Danio rerio: one gene and its partner. The protein of the gene in region 2 purifies or fractionates together with the protein of the main gene of each other region. This does not show direct contact. Links are inferred from orthologs where the notes say so. Each region holds a gene or a part of one and is shown on either strand. Other genes may lie near its edges.

Region 1 (3,526 bases), on a different chromosome or scaffold from region 2:
ACGATCGTGACTGCTGTAGTTATTCCAGTTGTTTTTTTTTTTGTTTTTTTTTGGTATTTATCTTCAGGAAATCACTGAAGGCATATATTATTTTATCATAACGATCTAAAGTGACAATAAGATCGTAACTTTACTGTGCATTTATACAGTGGCCATATTCATCTATGTAAACACACCAAAACAACATTACCAATATAGCAGAAACTGTAAAAAGCTCAGTTTCAGCCACTAGACTTTTCTGACGGTATTAGAGTGTCAGAATGTTGTGGGACTGCTATTACAGATTATAGATCGTAAAATTTAGCTTTTTATTTATTTTTTTTATTTTTTTTATGAAAAAACTTTTTCATTTTCATGTTTCAGGGAAAACAGTTATGTATATATATATATTAAAACATGTGCTTATTGTAAAAATTTGTAATAATGACAAAAATACCATTTTGTGGATCTCCTTATTTTCGGGTTTAGCAATACTGCTGTTGTGGCTGGTGTATTCTGGGAAATTTTCTTAGCCCTTGGTTTCGTGTGTGGTCCTGAAAAATCTTTTTTCGAAGGGCTATTCACCCCTTCCCTTTAGACCACAGGTGTCAAACTCAGTTCCAAAAGGGCCGCAGCTCTGCACAGTTTAGTTCCAACCCTAATTAAACACACCTGATCAAACTAATTGAGTCCTACAGGCTTGTTTGAAACCTACAGGTAAGTGTGTTGGAGCAGGGTTGGAACTAAACTGTGCAGGGCTTCGGCCCTCCAGGAATTGAGTTTGAGACTCCTCTACGCCTTGACATGAACGTGCAAAATGAGGGGTAGGGGTGAGGGGAAGGGCTAAGGGGTAGAATTGGGATTGGGCCATAGTCTGAAGCAATGGCAAATATTGAAAATATATATATTTTATAATAATACAGTTTTTACGATAACCTTTTTTTTTGGCCGATTTAATACATGCATGCAGAATAAAATCAGCAATTTCTGAAAAACAATCTTTTAAAGCAGGTGGATGTCTTGAGTCAGACTCGAGAGGAGTATTTTTTTATTTGGTAGAAAATGCATTTTTAGAATTTTTATTTTTTATATCTACAACTTTTATTGCTTTTAGTTTGACAATAGCACAAAAACCGAAACCCTAAATTGGATTCTTGCTGGCTATACTTTTAGTAATTGTTAAATATAATTATTTTTTTATTTGATTTTTAAGGTCGTGGTCGACCGCCAACTGAGCCATTACCTGATGGGTGGATCATGACATTCCATAACTCCGGCATTCCAGTCTACCTCCACCGGGAAACCAGAGTTGTAACCTGGTCTAGACCTTACTTCCTTGGAACAGGAAGCATTAGGGTAAACATTTTGACTTGCCTAAGATATGACACTTACTGTAAATTGCAATTAAACAATTACAATGTTCAATTTATTTTTTCACGCTCCTCATCTCTATTCTCTTATTTTCCCCTAGAAACATGACCCACCAACCAGTAGCATTCCCTGCCTGCACTACAAGAAAATGAAGGAACAAGAAGAAAGGGAACAGAATGGAGAGGTGACTCCGACAGCGGAGATTTCTCCAGTCAAATCTGGGGAGGAGGGTATCTCACTGGAGCGAGCCGATGAGCCTGACTCCACTGCCACTGAAGAGCCCACCGGCAGACCAACATCAGAAGATCCGGATCTTGACCTCATGGAGCCAGGAGGGTCTTCTATAGAGGGGAAGGATGGCCAAACCGGGGATACTGCACAGGGAGCATTGGGCCAGGTCAAAGCCAAGGTGGAGGTCTGCAAAGATGAGTCTATTGGTAAGTGGACTTTATACTTATAATTTTTTTATATATACAATAATCAAAATTTGCAGAGGATTAAAGCCTTTTAAAGTTTTCATAAAATTATTTAACAGCCATTTTTGGTCTTGGGACAATTTTGAAAAGCTATTTTCCCCCCACTTCAGATGTTGATTACTGTATACATCACTGTGAAAATGTGCCTGGCATGTAAACCTCCTCTTGTGTTTTGTATCCCAGAAATTGAGGATTTTAGAAGCTACCTAGAGAAGTGCTTTGATTTTGAGCAAGTGACAGTGAAGAAGTTCCGCACATGGGCTGAGCGCAGACAGTTCAACAGGGACATGAAGAGGAAACAGGCTGAGTCTGAGAGGCCCATCCTACCAGCCAATCAGAAGCTCATCACGCTGTCTGTTCAAGATGCCCCCACAAAGAAAGGTGCCTATGAAATTAATACATTTATGAATCTTAAAACCAATAAAACATGCTGTTTTAACAACAATAACAATGTTTATATTACAGAGTTTGTCATCAACCCAAATGGGAAGTCAGAAGTGTGCATTTTACATGAGTATATGCAAAGAGTACTCAAAGTGCGACCAGTTTACAACTTTTTTGAATGTGGTAAGTAGCATAATGCTGAAGGATATTTGGATTTGAAAGAGAAGATTCTGATATTGACATTTTGGAAGGGATTAAAAAAAAAACTTTGGATTTAGTTTTTTCATGGATAAAATGACACTAGAACATCAATTAATCCCTGTCTAAATGAGTGATTCACTGAATTTTCTTTATTTTTCATTCTAAATGGTCTATCTATGAATTATTAAATTGGCTGAAATTATTGGATCAGAGACAGATTTATTCAGAAGTGTAATTGCAATGTTACTCTGCAATGCGCTAATATTTAGCCCCAGGCTTTTAAACTATTTTTGTTGGGGGAAAATACAATATTGTGTCTGTAGCTTGCCCTATAAAAAGTAAAGTGTAAAGTCCTGATTTTCTGGAAAACCACTACTCTGTGCCATTACATATGTTTTTTTTTATTAATTAATTTTTTTTTAAAGTGAGCAACAAACCCATAAATAATGCATATGCCATCCCTAGAGTTAATCTTTTAAGAAACCAAATTACTTGTGGGCCATGTCTGTATAAAATGTCTCTTAAATCTACTGTAATGCATGTGTTTTTTGTTTTATATATACAATGTTTTTGTATATACTGTACTTAAATGTAAAGTCTCCATATTTTTTTTTCCCTCAGAAAACCCAAGTGAACCCTTCGGAGCCTCAGTGATTATAGACGGTGTTACATACGGCACTGGAACAGCTAGTAGTAAAAAACTTGCCAAGAATAAAGCTGGTATCTTTTCCCCGTTTCTGTTTGAGTCCTGTAATCTCAGCAAGAAATCATTTTGCTTCAACATAACTGCAAGCAAATAATTTACTTTATTCTCTTTTGTTTAAGCTCGAGCAACACTGGAAATCCTCATTCCTGACTTTGTGAAGCAGACGTCTGAGGAGAAGCCCGTAGAGGGAGATGAACTGGAGGTGCTGCTCTTCTTTATATTTTATCTTTGAGTAGATTAATTTATTTCATGGTACTTATGGTGTGTGTTGTTTTCCATTTCCACAGTATTTTAATCATATCAGTATTGAAGATTCAAGGGTGTATGAGCTGACCAACAAAGCAGGTTTACTCTCACCATATCAGATCCTTCATGAGTGCCTTAAGAGGTGCGTTATCATTATGCATAA
Region 2 (3,526 bases):
ACATGAAGAGACAAGTTGATGGCATATAAGTTTCCTGTATTGCCACAATGTTGTCTTTATTCTTTCATTAAGACAGTTACTTTTTTTATTCTGAATTAATCAGCAGCTGTGACCAAATCAGTTGAATTCAGTGAACGACTCATCCTGACACTAAGAGTAGTCAACTGTTGATGGCAAGACGTTGTTGAAATATCACCTTTGAGTAAAAAAAGCCCAAAATATTAAGGTTTCTTAAGACATCAAATGAGTCCTTTCTCTGGTTTTCTGTTTCAGCTCCAGTGATTGTTTGGGACAGTCAGGTTCAAGATGGATTCAAGAGCAGCCAGAATCATGAAGAAGCAGAGGACATGTCTGGCAAAAAGTCCTGCGCTGTTCCTGTTTGCTGGGACGGCAAGAAAAGCTGTGATGTGGTTCAGGAGCTCCTCAAGAACTCCTCTGATAAAGCCTATGGAACTGAGGGTGAGCTTTCAATCAATGTGTTTTTCATTTGTTTTTGTCCTTTTCCTGATAGTCAGGCTCGATTCTGTTGCTGTCGTTAATCTGGCACCCTGTATTTCAGAGGAGGGGCACAGTGAAAAAGTGTTTTGAATTTGAAGTGCAATACCTTATTCTACCACCGGATGTCACTCTTACATGTACTGCATTTTTAAACTACCTGTATCTGAAATGCCGCATAGATCCAGATGGTAATTATTCCACAAAACTGCCTCAGAACATTTAACCTCCTAGGGCTTAGTGGTCACGTACGTAAACAGCACATTTTAGCTCTTAAGTGGCTATTTAAAATACTTTGAATGTTTTATATTTTGTTACAGACATTCAGTGTCATCCAGCAACTGTTTTGCAGCATATGAAATGTCCCAAATACTGTTTTTAACTATCCAAAAAATAAAAAAATATATAAAATATATATATATATCCAAAATATTAAAAAAATCTCCAAAAACTCCTTTAACAGGGTTCTTACGGGTGCTGGAAATCCTGGAAAATGCTTGATTTTTAATATTGTGTTTTCAAGGTTAGAAAAGTGCTTGGATTTTGAACAAAGTGTTTGTACCTGCTTGAATTTGAAATTGCTGGGCTCGAAATTGTGACTTTTGGTTGCATATGCGCACAATTTCATCTGTGACCTCTAAATATATTTGAGAGCATATGTGCGAGTGCATAAATAGTTTTCATGCGTCTAGTTTTTATTGCAAAACGTTCACCGCATGCATGTATGTATGGAGCCAATAATATGCCAAAACAATCTGAATTTGAATTGTCAAATTATTAACACCTGTAAGCTAATAAAACTGATTATATGCTATTAAAAATTGTTTAACCGAATTTGAAACTCTTAACTTGATTATTAAACATCTGAAATTTAAGTCAAATTTTTGTAGACATATTTTCAAACTTTAGATTTTTTGGTTCTGAATTCAAAGACTGCAAATATTGGGTATGTAAAAAATACAGTTTTAAGTTGTTCAGTTGTTAAACTGTTTTGGCATTATTAGCTTCATACGTATTTAGGAGAAATTCACCCAGAATGCAACTTGAATGCATCTGAAACGCCAATTCAATATATATATATATATATATATTTAATAAATACTGTAAAAAAATAGCAATGCACTTGAAATATCATGAACAACTGGTCATGAAAGTTTGGGACTACACCCAAACAAAATCTGACTTTGGTCTCTTTCTACCTAAAGTTGATATCTCAAGAATGAGCTCAAACTTAAAAATATACTTCATCCAAAAACTAAACTTTTTTAATTTATTTTTTAATTATTTTTGGGTGAACTATCCCAATAAATCTATGCTCTAGAGTATTCAACAATTTAAGGTGAAATGTCATATTGTGTTTTTTAAAATAGCACAATGGATTCAAATGTGATTAAATGCATACAACATATATAAACATGGTTAACCGTGGTTGTTAGGTGCTGAAAAAGCATACAAATGCACCTTTAAAGTGCTTGGAAAGTGCTGGAATTTGAAGTTGGAAACGGTGTAAGAACCCTGTTTAAGATCTCCTGAAGTTCTCATCTGAATACTTGATTTGGTTCGCTGAGCTGAATTGTTGACTGTTTTGATTCATTTCATCCATCAGTTCTCAGTTGGGAAGGCGATCCGTCACTCATCAGCAGAGATGCCGTTCAGGATTCACGCTACGCTAAAAACCTGACTGTCATTGATGAGTGGGATAGTGAGTTCGACAGCGGAAAGGTGAGGATTAAAACTCTGACCTCTCATATGTTCTGTGCCTAATACTGAAGAGTCATTTAAAGCAGATCTCAGACTAATAGTCCACTGCAGACAGTTTACAGACATATTGCTAGTCATAGTTTCATTACAGAGCACATTGTCTGAAATGTTGTATTTGGATCAAAAACGCAACATCCCATTTTAGGTTCTGCAGGAAATTGACATTTGCAAACGTGAATTTATGTACATAAAAGATGACTTTACATGCAAGTAAAGTGCTTTGTTTCATACAAAGAACTTGTGCTTGTTTCAAATAACAAACTCTGCACATGACATATATGACAGTAGAGTTTATGTATATGTGTTCTATTAAGTATATACATGTGAAGTGTATAGAACAAGTTGTTTTATTTGCCTCATTCGAATAGGTGAAGAAAATTAAAAAATACAAAAAGGACAGGAGGTGGAACGGAAACGTCTTCCAGAAGATCCAGGAACATCGTAACATGTGGTCTGTGACGGGTGGCAGACGGTGCAGTCTGGGCTATCGACACTCAACGGTGCCTCACTTTATTCTCTTAATTTTCCCCCGCTTTAAACTATAAAGACATTTTTTTGGCCAGTTTACAAGACTTTTCTACTATTATTGGTTTTAAATGCATGTTGTAATTTCTAAGACTTAAGTTTGATGCTTTAGACTGTTTGAATTAATTGTATTACTTGAATATACAGTAGTCAACCTTTGAGGTTTATGAAAATGACCTAAAACTATTGAAAGATGCCCAGTCTCATCTTATTTATAAAAACATGTCTGATCCTGATTCAAATGTTTCAGTCTCCTTAAGAAAAAAAGTTTTTTTTAAAATATTTTTATTTTACTTATTTTTGTAATTGTTTTTAAATGTATTTATTTTATTTATTTTTATTCATTTATATTTATTTATATATATATATATATATATATATATATATATATATATATATATATATATATATTTTTTTTTTTTTAATTTATTTATGAATTGTTTTTTATTACTATTATTATTTGTTTATTTTCATATATTTGTATTTATATATTTTTTATTTATATGTATTAGTTTATTTTTATTTATTTATATTTATTAACATTTTTGTTTTAGTATTTTTTTATTCATTTTTTATATTTATTTTTATTTGTTTATTTATATTATTATTATTCATTATGTATAAATTTGTTTTTGTTTTTCACTTATATTATTATAATATTTGTTTTTTATGTGTTTGTTTTATTTGTACATATTTATTTATTTGTATTTACATTTTTTCTTATTTGTTTTTTGTTTTTTTATCT

The links. Proteins that work in one complex are often made in the same cells at the same time.
Region 1: the proteins of usp36 (region 2) and dgcr8 purify together in Homo sapiens (affinity purification with western blotting; 3 studies listed by BioGRID, with this or other methods). This does not show direct contact. The link is inferred for Danio rerio from reciprocal best matches to the Homo sapiens genes USP36 and DGCR8.

The regions. Positions count from the first base shown.
Region 1 is NC_133180.1:25,180,981-25,184,506, forward strand, and holds part of dgcr8 (microprocessor complex subunit DGCR8), read left to right. Parts: intron 1-1,192; coding exon 1,193-1,335; intron 1,336-1,450; coding exon 1,451-1,787; intron 1,788-2,009; coding exon 2,010-2,207; intron 2,208-2,291; coding exon 2,292-2,393; intron 2,394-3,032; coding exon 3,033-3,131; intron 3,132-3,236; coding exon 3,237-3,319; intron 3,320-3,404; coding exon 3,405-3,505; intron 3,506-3,526.
Region 2 is NC_133178.1:61,789,175-61,792,700, reverse strand, and holds part of usp36 (ubiquitin carboxyl-terminal hydrolase 36), read left to right. Parts: intron 1-273; coding exon 274-459; intron 460-2,101; coding exon 2,102-2,217; intron 2,218-2,624; coding exon 2,625-2,756; intron 2,757-3,526. UniProt on the Homo sapiens protein: Deubiquitinase essential for the regulation of nucleolar structure and function. Required for cell and organism viability.